2 linked regions of the Caenorhabditis elegans genome follow. The protein of the gene in region 1 purifies or fractionates together with the protein of each later gene. This does not show direct contact. Each region holds a gene or a part of one and is shown on either strand. Other genes may lie near its edges.

What was found.
Region 2: the proteins of let-418 (region 1) and mes-2 purify together in Caenorhabditis elegans (affinity purification with western blotting, with the first as the bait; one study listed by BioGRID). This does not show direct contact.

The regions. Positions count from the first base shown.
Region 1 is NC_003283.11:5,824,013-5,833,665, forward strand, and holds let-418 (Protein let-418), read left to right. Parts: upstream 1-2,820; 5' UTR 2,821-2,848; coding exon 2,849-3,178; intron 3,179-3,247; coding exon 3,248-4,240; intron 4,241-4,288; coding exon 4,289-5,367; intron 5,368-5,418; coding exon 5,419-6,748; intron 6,749-6,819; coding exon 6,820-8,165; intron 8,166-8,216; coding exon 8,217-8,488; intron 8,489-8,542; coding exon 8,543-8,682; 3' UTR 8,683-8,819; downstream 8,820-9,653. UniProt on the Caenorhabditis elegans protein: Part of a NuRD (Nucleosome Remodeling and Deacetylase) complex which is implicated in the synMuv B pathway that negatively regulates specification of vulval cell fate.
Region 2 is NC_003280.10:14,381,173-14,388,954, forward strand, and holds mes-2 (Histone-lysine N-methyltransferase mes-2), read left to right. Parts: upstream 1-2,800; 5' UTR 2,801-2,803; coding exon 2,804-3,470; intron 3,471-3,853; coding exon 3,854-4,422; intron 4,423-4,864; coding exon 4,865-5,013; intron 5,014-5,057; coding exon 5,058-5,275; intron 5,276-5,695; coding exon 5,696-5,888; intron 5,889-6,153; coding exon 6,154-6,386; intron 6,387-6,602; coding exon 6,603-6,813; intron 6,814-7,045; coding exon 7,046-7,127; 3' UTR 7,128-7,282; downstream 7,283-7,782. Other genes in the region: sdz-26 (SKN-1 Dependent Zygotic transcript), read left to right, coding at 600-665, 840-1,124, 1,181-1,360, 1,414-1,599, 1,650-1,931, 1,982-2,137; F26H11.8 (uncharacterized protein), read left to right, coding at 7,341-7,396, 7,448-7,652. UniProt on the Caenorhabditis elegans protein: Polycomb group (PcG) protein. Catalytic subunit of a the mes-2/mes-3/mes-6 complex, which methylates 'Lys-27' of histone H3, leading to transcriptional repression of the affected target genes.

The DNA of each region.
Region 1 (9,653 bases):
ATTTCACAGTTGGGCTACATTTCATGTTTTCATAATTTGAAATCCATACATTATTTTCAGCTATTTAGTTAGGTGGCTTAGAGTACAATTTTGTAAAATTTACCAATCTGAAAGACCATTGTTCCTATGAAAATAGCAATTGATTTAAAGTAAACTCACCAGACAAGCTTTCCAAAAGTGACTAGGTGCATAAATAGAAAAAAACGACTGAAAGCTATATCGCACATATGGGCTACTCTAGACTTTATAGTATTTGATAGCACTCCAGAAAATTGCTTAGTTCATCGTTTAGCCATTAAACCTACAAACTGGTAGCCAAACTATTATTCTACCATATATTTGATTTAACGTTTATAGTATAATGCGGTTTAGATTATTAACATTTTTGGCAAGATTGGAAGATTTCCTTACGTTCGAGAAATCAAATTTTGCAAGATCAAAAGCATATTAAATAGTAATTTTCAAAAAAAAAATGCCACACAATCTATCTCAAAAGGACATTCAACACTTCTCTGACCGCTCATTGACTTCTCATTTGAAAATTCACGTAATTTGTAATTTTTCGTTTAAACCAAACTCCATGAAACTGCTCTCTTATTCAATATCAAAACAAAAACGCGCCTTTCTCTGATAATCTGATATGAAATCAGGGGGGTGTCGTTGAAACGCTTATCACGGAGACATTAGAACAAAAAAAAAAGAAACCGAAAAATGAGGGGTACTGTAATATGTTATGGTTTTGTTGTTTTGTTATCTTCCATAATTCCATGAGACAAAGGGTGGAGAGGTTCACGTGAATCCCAGCATCTCGGATTATCTGGTTTCCGGCAGTTGAACTTTTGAAAAAAAATAACTGAATCAAAAGTTTATGTTTACTTATTGACTGGACATTTTTGGGTTGGAGATACATTAAAATTTGACAACTTTGAGTAAAAAACGATGACACATGCCTGAAAATGATGTTGGTTATATTTCCTTTGTACAATTTGTTTTTGGGAACTTGGGGATCTTGCTTTAAAATATTCAGAATTAGTCGATTTCTGTAAAAGCCAAATTACCAAATTTGTGGTAAGTTGACAGATATATCATTTTAAAGTTTGGACATTTGAGTACTCTATTATGTCAACACAAAATTCTGAGAATGCGTATTTCACAACATATTTGAAAGTATCTCATAGCGAAAACTACAGTAACACTTTAACTGATTACTGTAGCTCTTATGGCGATTTACGGGCTCTATTTCAAATGCCTTGTGCAATACGCATTCTCAAAATTCTGTGTTCCCGTAATATCACTGTTTTCGAACATTATTTTCCAAATTACACTTTTACAATTTTGTAGAAAATCTAGCAGTTTGAGAAATTTTTTCAGAAGTTAAGATATAATTTCTAGAAGCTTATAATAGGGCGAATCTAAAGCGTTATACTGTTAATTCGAAATATTAAATGTTATTCAATCATTTAAAATTGCCACGTTTTCAGAAGGTCAAGGTAAATTTGTTTATCCTTGATTTAAACATTATGAACATTTTATTTCTTTTAAATTATTTTTAACTCGCATAAACACGTGTTTTGAACTTCTAGATCTTTTTCTTCACTGCCGTGCATCGATTTGAATCATTTTCCGCTTTTGCGCTTTCAAGGGAGGTCCATTTATGCGAATGGGTCTCGCCGCGCTAAGTGCATTGATTTTAAAATGTTGTGTGTGCGTCTTAACGTTTACTGTCCCGTTCTTTTTTTTTTAGCTTTTTCCCTGTTTTCTAAGGTTTTCCTAGTTTCTGAAAAGAATTTGTATATCTTTGTATAAGAATTTGTATATACATGCTGATTCAATTAAAAATTAGTAAAGTTCCGAAGAAGAAACCTATTTTCGGGAGCTATGCAGGTGCGCTCCATTGCCAGCAGATGCGTTTTGTTCAAATGTTTTCTTTTTCATTTTTTTTTGGCTCGCTTTTTGGATTCGCGTTTCCTCTCAATTTCCGCAATTTGATATTTCTAAGTATACAAGTATATTTCTAAAATCGTCATAAATATTTGCTCGTAATTTTCCCAATTTTAATTCAAAATTTTAATTCTATCAGGACGGTTCACAGTTTTTACCTGATTTGAATCCTGAAATAGATCTAATTTACTAGTTTTTTTTTTAATCCGTAATCCAACGTGTTTTTAATTTTCTGTGAACAACATAATTCTCAACTCAAATTAGTAAAGGGACATGCCACGTATTAATAATTTTCGTTGCGGGAAACACGACGCTGCATTTGGTCACTCTTACGCGCGAAGACGGGTCATTCGAATTTCCATCACTCTCCTCTCGTCTCTCTTTCTCTGACCACCGTCCCAACGAGCTGTGTCCCCGTTCTGCAATGTCCCCGCAGTGTCTCGTCAAATGGGACATATGGGGACATGAAATTGTCCCGTTTCGAATCAATATTTGTTTGAAATATGTTTTTGAATACGGCTATTTTTTCTAACTTTTCTTGTAATAATTGCATTTTCTCGATGGTAGATTTTAGAAAACTTGAAACGTAGGTTGTAAAATAAATTTTAAAAAATTTAAAATAGCTTGACGAGCTTAAATTTAAATTCCTACTTTAGGAATTTAATATTTTCAAAATTTTCTACGTTTTTTAGAAAAAATTAAGGCTTAATCTATCAGCCCAAAATTTACACTCAACTCTGTGTGTTATTTCGTCGCCGTGTTTGCAGACTTTTCACACTTTCAAATTTTGCTGATTTGCATTCGAGCTTTCTAATTTGTTCTCTTTATAATGTCCTTCTTGCAATTATTTATGTCTTACTTATATTAATCAATTTTCAGAAATTGTATTTCTCCTGAGAATTCAACAATGTCAACTGAAGAAGATCCGTCTTTAGTGGACGCGGAAGAATCAATGGAAGAGGGTTCTGTCACTCAAGACGCAACTGAAGAAACAGAAGAAGAGGAAGAACAAGAGCAAGGCGATGAGGCTGGACCATCTGAGCGAAAGCGTTCTTCTAGAAAGAAAGGCGGAAAGGGAGGCAAAAAAGGATCCAAAAAGAGTGCTGCCGCAGCTAGCAAGGTTGAGATTCCTGATCCGTATAATTCGACAAGTGAAGAAGTTTGTGCTGCTATCGGATTGACAGACGTCGAATTTGATTATGATGAAGAGGAGTTTCAAGGAATTTCTAATCTGAAGGTGATTATTCAAAATTTATTTTTTAAATCTCGATTTCTGTTTTCCTCCAATTAAACATCTTTTTTACAGACTTTCTCCTCAATCATCAAGCCACAAATACTGGAGGCAAACCCCGGAACCAACGTATCCAAGATGTACCCGATGTTCCAAGTCAAATATAAAGAGTATCAAGATCACATGGCTGCCCAAGGAAAACCTGTTCAAAAACAAGCTAGAGGTTCAAAGACTCCAGCAGTTTCCACACCCGTCATCCCTCCACGATCAGCTCCAACGAAGACTCGTTCTGCAAGGAGAAAGCGTCGAGATTCCGATGCTCCTGATAGTGATCAAGAGTTTGAGGCATTTATTAAGCAACAAGAACAACTGGAGGACGATTTGGTAAAAGACAAGGAAGATGCTCGTATCAAACGTGCAGCGGAAAGAGAAGAGAAGAAAAAAGGAGCATTGGAAGCTGCTCGTGCCGCTAAAAAAGCAAAATTAGAAAAGGGCGAAGAAGCTGAAAATAATGACTACTGTGAGGAGTGCAAGCAAGATGGAGAACTTCTTCTTTGTGACACCTGTCCCCGCGCTTACCATACAGTCTGTATTGATGAAAATATGGAAGAACCACCAGAGGGTGATTGGAGTTGTGCTCATTGTATCGAACATGGCCCAGAAGTAGTTAAAGAAGAACCGGCGAAGCAAAACGATGAATTCTGCAAGATCTGCAAAGAAACTGAGAATCTTCTGCTTTGTGATAGTTGTGTATGCTCATTCCACGCATATTGTATTGATCCTCCACTTACCGAAGTTCCGAAAGAAGAAACATGGTCGTGCCCACGGTGCGAGACGGTTAAGCCGGAACACAAAATCGAAAAAATCCTTTGCTGGAGATGGAAGGAAATCCCGTATCCAGAACCTCTCGAAGCTGGGAAAGAGGCTTCGAGTGACGATGCGATGCTCAAACCACCACGGAAAATGGAACCAAGACGTGAGCGTGAATTCTTCGTGAAATGGAAGTATTTATCATACTGGCAGTGTTCTTGGGTCTCCGAAATGCTGTTGGAAGTTCATTTCCGTATGGTGAGTTTTAAGTGATGAAGTCCATTTGACTAATGTTTATTTTTCCAGCTTATATTGCTATATTGGCGCAAAAATGATTCCGATGCTCCTCCAGAATTTGAAGAATCCGTTACGTCTCGTCATCATTCTGATAATGATCCTTATAAATTGCGCGAGCGGTTCTACCAGTATGGTATCAAACCGGAATGGATGCAAATTCATCGTATTATCAATCATCAATCATATGCAAAGTCGCAGCAGGATTACCTTGTTAAGTGGAAGGAGCTCAGCTATGATCAAGCCACTTGGGAACGAGATGATTCTAATATTGCCAATTACGAAGAAGCAATCATTAAATACTGGCAACATCGTGAGAGCAAATTAAATGAGGATATTCCTAAAAATGTGCAGAAGATGATTGCTAAACATCGCGAAGCTAAAGGTCTTCCTCCAAAAGAAGACGAAAAGAAAAAGAAGAAGCGTGAGAAGATTGACATCCGTAAAAAATATGAAGTTCAGCCCGACTACGTTACGGAAACCGGAGGAAAACTTCATCCATATCAACTGGAAGGACTTAACTGGCTTCGTCATTGTTGGTCCAACGGAACTGATGCGATTCTCGCTGATGAAATGGGTCTTGGGAAGACTGTTCAATCGCTTACTTTCTTATACAGTCTCATGAAGGAAGGCCATTGCAAAGGACCATTTTTGATTGCCGCTCCTCTATCAACTATTATCAATTGGGAGCGTGAGGCTGAACAATGGTGTCCTGATTTCTATGTGGTCACTTATGTTGGTCTTAGAGATGCTCGTGTTGTGCTCCGAGAACATGAGTTTTCTTTCGTTGAAGGTGCCGTTCGATCCGGACCGAAGGCTTCAAAAATGAAGACGACAGAGAATATGAAGTTCCACGTGTTGCTCACTTCTTATGAGACTATCAATATGGATAAAACTATACTTTCTTCCATTGAATGGGGAGCTCTTGTTGTTGATGAGGCTCATCGGTTAAAGAATAATCAGTCGTTGTTCTTCAAAAATCTCAATGAATATACTATTCATTATCGCGTACTTCTCACCGGAACTCCACTTCAAAACAATTTAGAAGAGCTCTTCCATCTCCTCAATTTCTTGTCCAAAGAACGTTTCAAGTAAGTTTCTGAATTTTTGTGTATTTTATTTTATTAATTGCATTTTTTCAGTCAGCTCGAGGCTTTCACTGCCGAATTCAATGAGATTTCCAAAGAGGATCAAATTGAAAAACTTCATAACTTGCTCGGACCTCACATGCTTCGCCGTCTCAAAGCTGATGTGTTGACTGGCATGCCATCGAAATCAGAATTAATTGTTCGAGTTGAACTGAGTGCTATGCAGAAAAAATGGTATAAAAATATTCTGACTCGCAATTTTGATGCATTGAATGTGAAGAATGGAGGAACTCAAATGTCATTGATGAACGTCCTTATGGAATTGAAGAAATGTTGTAATCATCCATATCTTTTTGTGAAGGCAGAGTTGGAGGCTCCGAAAGAGAAAAACGGAATGTATGAAGGAACGGCGCTCATCAAGAATTCCGGAAAGTTTGTTCTTCTTCAAAAAATGTTGAGAAAGCTGAAGGATGGTGGCCACCGAGTGCTTATCTTCTCACAAATGACAAGGATGCTGGACATAATGGAAGATTTATGTGAATATGAAGGATACAGATATGAAAGAATAGATGGAAGTATCATGGGACAAATGAGACAAGATGCTATCGATCGTTACAATGCTCCTGGAGCTCAACAATTTATTTTCTTGCTCTCCACTCGAGCTGGAGGTCTTGGTATCAATCTGGCAACTGCTGATACGGTTATCATATATGATTCTGATTGGAATCCTCACAATGATATTCAAGCTTTCTCTCGTGCACATCGTCTCGGACAGAAGCATAAAGTTATGATTTATCGTTTTGTAACAAAGAAATCTGTCGAAGAAAAAATCACTTCAGTTGCCAAGAAGAAGATGCTTTTGAATCACTTGGTTGTACGTGCAGGATTGGGAGGAAAAGAAGGAAAGACAATGAGCAAGACTGAGCTGGACGATGTGCTTCGATGGGGAACCGAAGAGTTATTCAGTGAGGATCTTGATGCTGCCGAAGGCGAAGGCTCGGAGAAGAAAGGTGCTGCCGCACAAGAAATTGTTTGGGATGATGCAGCTGTAGATGCTCTTCTCGATCGCAGTAACAAAGAAGAGACTCCAGCAGGAGAAGATGGCGAAGAAAAAGCTGAATGGCAAAACGAATATCTAAGCTCGTTCAAGGTGGCCAGCTATCAGACAAAAGAGACTGAAGGACAAGAAGAAGAGGAGGAAGAGGAAACGGAAGTGATTAAAGAAGATGAGAAAGAACCAGATCCAGATTATTGGGAGAAGCTGCTCAAGCATCACTACGAACAGGACAGGGAAATCGAATTGCAAAAGCTTGGAAAGGGAAAACGTGTTCGCAAACAAATCAACTATGCCAGTGAGAATATGGGAACTGATTGGAGCAAGCAGGTTTGTTTTTTTTCTGATTAATTGGGTTTTTCTGATTAATTTCTGATTAAACATTTAATGATTTTTTTCAGAACCAAACCCAAGATGATGACGATGATAACGAGTCGTACCGTGGTTCGGACAATGGCGACGGCCTGAACTCTGATGAAGATGATTACGATGAGAAGAAAAAGCGGCGTCGTGATGAAGAAAAAATGCCTCCACTCATGGCTAAAGTCAATGGACAAGTTGAGATTCTTGGTTTCAATCCACGTCAACGCAAGGCGTTCTACGGGGCTGTTATGCGCTGGGGAATGCCTCCACAAGATTCTCATCAATCTCAATGGCTTGTTCGAGATCTGAGAAACAAATCGGAAAAAGTCTTCCGAGCTTATGCTTCACTGTTCATGCGACATCTCTGTGAGCCTGGAGCTGATGGTCATGATACCTTTAATGATGGAGTTCCAAGAGAAGGTCTTAATCGTCAGCATGTTCTTGGCCGAATCGGATTGCTGAGTTTAGTTCGGCGGAAGGTTCAAGAATTTGAGCAATATAATGGCCAATGGTCTATGCCTGAAATACAAGACGAAGTTCTCGCTAAAGCTGCCAATGGTTCGGCACAAGGATCTTCAAGAAGTACTCCGAAACCAAAAGAAGAGCCGAAGGAAGAACCAATGGAAAAGGAAGATGCTACTGAAACAGTTAACGGAGCTACATCAGAGCCAGCTACAGATGCTGAGAGTGAACAAAACGCTCCTGTTGACGAACCAATGGATACAGATGAAGCCAAAGAACCGAAAGAAGAACCAATTGAAACCGAGAAACCAAGAGCAGCCCGTCCATCATTCAAGTTCAACATTTGTGACGGTGGATTCACTGAACTTCACTCTTTGTGGGCCAATGAAGAGAAAGTTGCAAGAAACGGAAAAGAATATGAAATCTGGTACCGCAGACACGACTATTGGCTTTTAGCTGGTGTTGTTGTACACGGATATGGACGTTTCCAAGCTAATTTCAATGACATCATCAATGATCCCAGATTCTCAGTTCTCAATGAGCCATTCAAGGAAGTTGGCGCTGAGGCAACAGGATCTGACATCAAAGCCAAGTTTATGCAACGTCGTTTCAAACTTATTGAACAGTCCCTTGTGATTGAGGAGCAACTTCGTCGCGCTGCACACGCCAATCGTCACTTGCAGCCGGATAATGTTGGACCATTGGCTCAACGTTTTGCGGATTTAGAGAATATTGCTGAATCTCAAGCTAATATCGCCAAAGAAAGTTCTGCTGGAAATCGTAATGCGAATGCCGTTCTACACAAAACATTGGTTCAGCTCGACGAAATACTTTCCGATATGAAGGCCGACGTGTCTAGACTTCCATCTACTTTTACACAGTTAGCGACTGTCACCGAACGTCTCAACATGACCGAGAGACAGTAAGTTTTAACTCGTAAAAGCTTCAGTCAATATATGTATATATATTTCAGAATTCTTTCGCGACTGACCACAAAAGACGAGGACGCGATAGCCAACCGTAGCGTACTTCCACCACCAGGACCATTTGTAACTCCAATACTTCGCCAGCAGATGGATGGCATTCAACCAAAGTTTGCAGCTCTTTACAGTAAATTCATGTCTGAAAATGGAGAAAGGATGGAAGAGGATGAACCAGTAGAGGCAGAAGAGGAAGAAGGTGTAAAACAAGAACCAGATGATGAGACTCAAGATAGCGCCGAAGCTCCGCCAGTTCTTAGTGCAGGTTAGTACTAATTCATATGGATCTTAAAATAACTCAATGTATTTCTATTTCCAGAAGTGAATTCCGACGATAGCAACGATGTTCCATCTACTTCCGCTGCTGCTGCTGTCAGTTCTGAAACAGCTGCCGACGCCGAACCAGCTTCCGCCGAAGATCAAGCTCCAACAGATGAGCCAGAACCAATGGAAACTTGAATGTCTTTTTAATTTTATTGGGTTTTACTGTATTTTTTCAAACTTTAAACCATTATATTATTTATTGTTCTCTTTTTAGTTGCATCAATTGAAATGCAATTCAAATAATTGCGTCATGAATCTGTGTAAACGTTTAATCCTGATCTTTTCGTCTTAACTTGTTCACATGAATCTAAGCAGCCTCGCCATCAACACGTTGACCGTTCTATGATAACCCAGTCATTCTCTATCTCGCCTCGCTTCCTCTTTGCCCATTCCCCTTGACGAATAGGGTAATTAATCAATTGCACCGCGCAGAAGACACAGGGTTCCGGCGTGGGCGACAGTCAAAAAAGGAAGTGTGGAATGTGTGTGAAGATATCAAATATTTGTGACGTTCTCTGTTGTCTTGACAGGAAGAGAGAAGCGTTAACTATTTCATATTCCGATGACGTATTTGTTTGATGTTGTCGATGAAATTTACAGTTACATCATCGAAACGGTTATCCTTCAAAGGTCATCTGGAAATTTTGAAATTAGAAAACAAGTTGATTTTTACATCATTGGTTTCGTAGCCATAGATCACCGATCATAAATGAAATATCATCAATTTCATGATTTTTTTCATATGGTTTAGACTTTGGAGAGGGACCAAACGCTACTAAATACTTGGAACTTTATTAACATTGTATTATAATATTCAGAAATTTGCACTTTTCGCGTCAATGAATACGGTAACTGGTCTCGATGGGACAATTTTTTGTTCTGAAAAAAAGATTGAGCCTTTAATGACTACTGTAATGATTTCCAACTCTCGTTGCTATTGATGTCGCTTTTGTTCAATAAAAAATAAATTTATTCAATAAAAAATTAAAGGAATCATATACGAAAAAATCATAGCCTTCTGCGATTATCGAAATTTGTCGTGTTGAGATCGGGTACCGTATGTTTGGCTGAAAAATCTGATTCCTCGCGGCTAAACCTGTCTGAAA
Region 2 (7,782 bases), on another chromosome or scaffold:
AAAGATGTATTAATTATTAAATTATGCCATTTACTCTTTGCCATATACCATATACCATATACCATATACCATATACCCTAACTGCCTAGGCTCCTAATTGATAAAATAGTCTGAGTACATACATAGATTAGGTTACCGAAACAAGTTCCGCACAGCCATTTTAAACATGCCAACAGGCAGGCATGAAGGAATCAATATTTATAACAAAAAATGTGCTTTTTTCCAGCATTTTGAAGTGGGATTATGATTGAACGTCTGAACATTTTTGTCATGAACTAATGCTCATTCCCCATACCTCATTACGTCAATAGAATCAATAAATACGAGCTGTCATGCGCATCGCCACAGTGCTCCCGAAAGTGTAATTACAGCACTCTGCCGACGTGCTGCAATGCTACATTGACCTCCTTCCCTGGACAAACGCTGCAATGTTGCAGCGTCCGAGGAGACAAACAATGAAGAAGACCAGGTCAGTCTTTAATATTTTTTTATGGTGTTTGGTGACCTCTTTTTCTGTTTTATTAAAGTTATTTTTCTAAAATCTTATAGTATAACTTATACATTTTGTTCAAATTCCAGATCAATTCTCCAGATCAAAAATGAACCGAACTGAGATCGAGATCGAGCTTTTCGCACGTGTCATCAAGAGCGGACACGAAGAATCGGTAAGTAAATAGCTTTTATTTTGAATCGTAATGCTTAAATTCCCGTTGATTTTCTTTAGCCCTACCTTCCGGGGCTGTGCGGCTTGTAGAAAAATTGGGTTATCGGCTGAAGCCGACAGCCGCACAGCCCTGCTAACTACTACATATACTCAAAATCCAAATATGAAATTTCAGATCCAAGAAGTCTTGAAAACGTTGCCGGAAGTCCCCTTTACCGTCGAAATCCTGGACAAGTGCAACATCGCATGTCTGATCGATCAATTTGTCCCGAACTTAGCGCCGGCCACCGACTTTGCCAGAAGGATCAGAAAATGGAGGAACGCAAGCATGCAAAGGGAAAAGGCCAAAATTGTAAAGTATTTCACATACGGAACATTGTACGATTTTGGTGGAACATTTGTCCCGGACCATGTTTTGAAGCTTCTCACTGATATGATGTGTTTCGATGATTTGGCTCTTGTAAGTTAAATGGTCACTAATTTCAGCGGGAATTCAAAAACAATTATGGTTTTCAGGTAAAATGTGCCTTCAAACTTCTCGGTGCATTGGAGCTATCACTTGCGGATTTCGAGTACTATAGAGTGCACGAGACTGCTGCTCAGTTCCAGTACAGATTTGTTGAAGCAGACGAGTTGGTGCGAAAAATTGAACAATTGCGACGGGAGCTGTCAGACGAGTCGTTGCTGGATCAAGATGCATGTTTTTTTTCAAAGAAAAGTTTAGGGTAACTATTAATTTTCCATTTTAGATCCCAAATCTCGAAATGGATAATTTCGATCAGACAGAGCTGCTCCCAAAACTTCTCGATAATCTCCACTTGCATGGTGATCAAGAGGAAGGGCACTACAAAATGATGGAGAATTATGAGTGGGCCCTTTGGGAAGTTCTCATGGTGCACCTGGTGCAATCAATTAAGACTGGGAATCGACGAGTGGTGAGTTATAGATTAATTTTTACAATTTAAATTATAATATGATATTTCAGATCACAAGAGCCATAATCCACCACCAAGAGCACCGGTTTCCACTGGCACTTTACAGAAAATACGAGATCCAATCACTGATCCGAGCTCTTCCTCGTAAGATCTCAGCTGCTTCACAACTATTTGATGAGATCGAGCTAATTGAGGAGTCCACATTGAATTCCCAGCATATTGAAGCTTTCCGGGAGGTGAAAAAAGCTGTGAACGGAATGGAAGAAGGAGAAGAAGCATGGCCAGTGCTCATGTCTTTGATGATGGGATTCTTGAAGCAAGACGATGGATTTGTGAGTTTACCTCTGATGTTTTTCTCTATTTTCAAAATAATATTTTTCAGGTTCACGGAGCCGTTGAGTTGCTACTGAATTGCAATATTTCACGGGAGCGATTTGTCGAGTTTGCGGTGGAGAATACTCTACTGAATCTTCCATATCGAACTGAAGAGATCAATGAGCTACTGGTGAAGATTCGGAGCATGGAACCGCGTCAATAATAGATTTAATTTTCTTAAAAATTTTTTTTGTAATTTTTCCAAAGTTCAAATAAAATTGTTCTTGGAATTATTCAGCCTTACTAGTAATAGTTAGTATGCAAAATTTTGCAAATATTACGGTACCCGGTCTCACCAAAACCAATTTTGGTTAAATGCAAAAAGGTGTGTGCCTTTAAAGACATAATTGCAAACTCTCAGGAATTTTCATCGATTTTTTTATAAGTAGGTTTTCCTAAATCCTTTTTTCGAAAATTTATTGATTTTTTTTCTATATTTAATATAAGCTTTTTAATATATTGCGATCGGAAAAAATTCGATGAAAACTCCGCGGCCACGAAAATTTGACTTTTATGTACTTTTTTAAAGGGTGCATATATTTTCGCATTTAACAAAAAATTGCTGTGTTGAGACCTGGCACCGTATTTTTAGCATAAAAATGGCAGAACTTCGCGCCTGGGTAACATATTTTGCAAAAAGCATTTGGTTTTCCTTGTCAGATTCAAATTCCAAACCTTCGCGCCAACTTCACATTATCAATAGGGCGCGATTGCACGCAACACTTGCAATGTTTTTAAAAATTAAAAATTGTTTGTTTTCGATTTATTCTCTCGTCTTTTTCGTCTTAATACAATTTTCTCCCTTTTTAAAACGCAATATTCTTTCAGAATGAGCAACTCAGAGCCCAGCACATCAACTCCCTCAGGAAAAACAAAGAAGCGCGGGAAAAAGTGCGAAACTTCTATGGGAAAATCGAAGAAATCGAAAAATTTGCCTCGCTTTGTGAAAATTCAGCCAATTTTTTCATCTGAAAAAATCAAGGAGACCGTGTGCGAACAAGGAATTGAAGAATGTAAACGTATGCTTAAAGGCCACTTCAATGCTATCAAAGATGACTATGACATTCGAGTAAAAGACGAGCTGGACACAGACATCAAAGATTGGTTGAAGGATGCGAGCAGCAGTGTTAATGAATATCGCAGAAGGCTGCAAGAAAATTTAGGAGAGGGCAGAACTATCGCAAAATTTTCATTCAAAAACTGTGAAAAATACGAAGAAAACGACTACAAAGTCTCCGATTCCACAGTTACATGGATCAAACCGGATCGAACGGAGGAAGGAGATTTGATGAAGAAGTTTCGTGCTCCGTGTTCACGTATCGAGGTTGGCGACATTTCCCCGCCAATGATATACTGGGTTCCAATCGAGCAAAGTGTGGCGACTCCGGATCAGCTGCGGCTCACGCATATGCCGTATTTTGGCGATGGTATTGACGATGGGAATATCTATGAGCATTTGATTGATATGTTCCCAGATGGAATTCATGGATTTTCGGGTGAGAAATTGCAAAATACCGGATTTTTTCCATTTTCTCTGAGAAACCCCCAAAAATCGAAAAAAAAACAGGCGGGACGAAGGTACCATTATTTCTATTTATTTTTACATTTTACATTCAAATTGCCTAATTTCTCACTTTTCAGTGAGAAATCGCCGTAAAATTTTTTTGAAATTTTATTTCAATTAATGTCATTTTGAATGTCAAACACAAAATTAGTTTTAAAAAATAGCCTTGAAAGTGAAAAATGCGAAAAACAAGTTCCCACTTGTCCACGTGTAGTTCTAAATGTTTCATAAATCGACATGCATCAAACCTCGGGACAATCTTGCAAATCCTTAGCTCCAGGTATTTTTTAAGCGAATTGATGTTAAATTTTTCAGACAACTGGTCCTATGTCAATGATTGGATACTCTACAAACTATGCCGTGCTGCGCTCAAAGACTACCAAGGCAGCCCAGACGTATTCTACTACACCCTCTACCGTCTATGGCCAAACAAAAGTTCACAGAGAGAATTTTCGTCGGCTTTTCCCGTTTTGTGCGAGAACTTTGCTGAAAAAGGATTCGATCCGTCGAGCCTCGAACCATGGAAGAAGACAAAAATCGCTGAAGGTGCTCAAAATCTTCGAAATCCGACGTGTTACGCGTGCCTCGCATATACATGTGCGATTCACGGATTCAAAGCCGAAATTCCAATCGAGTTTCCGAATGGTGAATTCTATAATGCGATGCTTCCGCTGCCAAATAACCCGGAAAATGATGGAAAGATGTGTTCTGGAAATTGCTGGAAATCGGTGACGATGAAAGAAGTTTCAGAAGTTCTTGTGCCGGATTCTGAAGAAATTCTGCAGAAAGAAGTGAAGATTTATTTCATGAAATCAAGAATTGCAAAGATGCCGATTGAAGATGGAGCGCTCATTGTGAACATTTACGTGTTCAATACATATATTGTAAGAGTACGCGATTTTTGCGCCAAAACCTGGCCTCGACGCGACAAATTTTTGTTAAATGCGAAAAGGCGTGCGTCTTTGAAGAGTACTGTAATTTTAAATTTTCAATAATTTTTCTAACAAGGGAAGAGTTCAAAAACTATTCCTGAATTCGGAATAAAAATAGTGTCATGCGATAGTTGGAGGTCTGAGATGATCCCTCCGAAACATTTTTATTGAAAAATTATATTTCCAGTGAAATTAATTTCTCGCAAGTTTTCTCTTTTTTTTAAAGCTATAAAGCTTGATTTTGCACCTTTTTCGTTATTTTGTTTTTCATTTTGCGTTTAAGAGTTTGTATATTATGTAAATCAAACTATTTTAAACAAAAAATAGCGAAAAATAGGAAAAAAGGGTGCAAAATCGAGCTTTATAGCTTAAAATGCAAAAAATCCATTCTCAGCCATTCTGCGAGTTTGTCAAAAAATATGTCGACGAAGACGACGAGGAAAGCAAAATTCGTTCATGTCGTGACGCATATCATCTAATGATGTCGATGGCAGAAAATGTGAGCGCCCGACGACTTAAAATGGGACAACCGTCGAATAGATTGTCAGTTGACGCGATTTTTTATATAAAAAATTGAATTGTTTCAGAAGTATCAAGGATCGAGTCAACAACTTCCGTCGTAATCAGTTGAGTCAGGAGAAGGCGAAGCGTAAGCTGCGTCACGACAGTCTGCGTATTCAAGCATTGAGAGATGGTCTGGATGCGGAAAAATTGATTCGAGAAGATGATATGCGTGATTCTCAGCGAAATAGCGAGAAAGTTCGCATGACCGCGGTGACGCCAATCACAGCGTGTCGACATGCGGGTGAGGAATGGAAAACAATTATGGGGTTATTCGTGAAATGTAGAAAAATGCAATAATTTGTTTTTATACATTTTTCACCTACCCATGTGCATCGAACAATGTAGCATTAATTTTTTGCATTTTTCGACATTTTTCGGCATTTCCTGCATTTTTCGACATTGGGCGACATCCCACTTCTCATGCTGAAGGCGAGACACGCAGAGAAAACCCGCGGGTGCATATCTCTCTGCGTCTCTCGCCTTCAGCATGTGAAGTGGGCTGTCGACCGATGTCGAAAAATGCAGAAAACGAATATTTTTTTGTATTTATTGGACACACATGTATTTATTGGACACAAATGAATGAAAACACATTTTTGCACATTTTACTACATCGCATTAATAACCCCATTAATTGAAAATTAATTTTTAAACATTTCAGGCCCATGCAACGCGACAGCCGAAAATTGTGCATGTCGTGAAAACGGAGTGTGCTCGTACATGTGCAAATGCGATATAAACTGTTCTCAGCGATTCCCGGGATGCAATTGCGCCGCCGGTCAGTGCTACACGAAGGCTTGCCAGTGCTATCGAGCCAATTGGGAATGTAATCCGATGACGTGTAATATGTGCAAGTGAGTGCACAGGAATTTTTTGAAAAGTTTTTTTAGTAAGCTTTAATTTTTCAGAACTTCCAGAAATGGAAATTTTAAGAAAGGAAAAAATTAAACTTTCCAAAAAAAATTGATCGAACTGAAAATTTCTCGAAAAAGAAGGACCAAATGTCCATTAAAAATCTTCAATCAAAATCCCAAATTTAAAAAAAGGTATATAAAATCAAAATAGCACAGAAAAATCGAATTTTGTACCTGAAAATTCTCAATTTAAAAACAAATTCAGATGCGACGCCATCGACTCGAACATAATAAAATGCCGCAATTTTGGAATGACTAGAATGATCCAAAAACGAACGTATTGCGGGCCATCGAAAATAGCAGGCAATGGACTTTTCTTGTTGGAACCCGCCGAAAAAGACGAGTTCATTACGGAATACACTGGTGAACGAATTTCCGATGATGAAGCCGAACGACGCGGTGCGATATATGATCGATATCAGTGCAGCTACATTTTTAGTATGTACTTTTTTTAGATCACGGTGTCGCAGAAAAATGTTTTAAATTTAAATTTTTTTTGGGTTTTTAGAGACAACATTTCGATTTTTTGAAAATCAAATAAATAAGAAAAAATTATTTCAAAAAATTAACAAAATATCGAAAAAAAAAACCATCAAAAGTTTTCTTTTTTTTTGAAAATTCAATTTTTCGGAACAAAAAAAAATATTTTTGCAGACATTGAAACCGGGGGTGCGATCGATTCGTACAAAATTGGAAACTTGGCACGATTTGCCAATCATGACAGCAAGAATCCGACGTGCTACGCGAGAACGATGGTTGTCGCCGGAGAGCACCGAATTGGGTTCTATGCGAAGAGACGGCTTGAGATTAGTGAAGAGCTCACATTTGACTACAGTTATTCTGGAGAACATCAGATAGCGTTCAGGTAGATTTTGCAAAAAGCTTTTCGGGTCTCGAGACGACTGCAGCTACCGTACCCTCTAGTTTTTTCCACTCAATTTTTAAAAATTTATAACACAAAGATTTTTTTGGATCAAAAAAATCATGATAAGCCGTAGAAAATTGTGGTTGGTTACGGTAGCTGCAAATTTTCGGTCGCTTCGAGAACCAGTTTTGTGTAGACTTTCAACTTGACTTTTTGAATAAACTTTTTCCAGGATGGTCCAAACCAAGGAGAGATCCGAGAAGCCCAGCAGGCCCAAAAGCCAGAAACTCTCCAAACCAATGACTTCTGAATAATCTTTTTTCTTGACTTTTTTTCTTAAATTTTTCCCGTTGATATCACTTTCAAATCTCAAGATCTACTTGTTTAACTGTTATTTCCCTAGAATCTCATGTTTCTGAATACATTTTCCTTCCTTCAAATTTCTGAAAACCATAAATATAATCGAATCAAAATTCCTCCTATAAAATCGCCCGACACAGCACAATTTTTTCACTTCTTCCTTAAAGATGGTGATTTTCTTCTTATTTTTCTTATTTCCCATGCTGCTGGAGGCTTCGGAAACGTAAGTTGGATTTTTTTCTGCAGGAAAATCTGAAAATGACAAAAATTCCAGTAGCAGAAGCTTAATCGAACCACCGGCCGTAATTCCTGAGAAACTCAAAACATTTTGCCAGATCGATCCAACGTACGAGATTTGCGTGAAGCTTGGCATTCCGAAAGCTGCGAGAAAGTTTGCAGCGAGATCCAAAATCCAGGGAAGACAGAGAAAAGGCGTCGATTGTAGGCAGGCCCCATTGCATCCGGGTTGTCAGAGATAAAAATGTTCCAAATATTATAGAAAAATTCCAATTATAGAAATGTGTACCTGGACAAGTTCATCGCGTGGAAAATTCATCACGATTGCGAGGTGAATCCAAATGGAGAATTTTGCCCGAAAACTTTGAATCG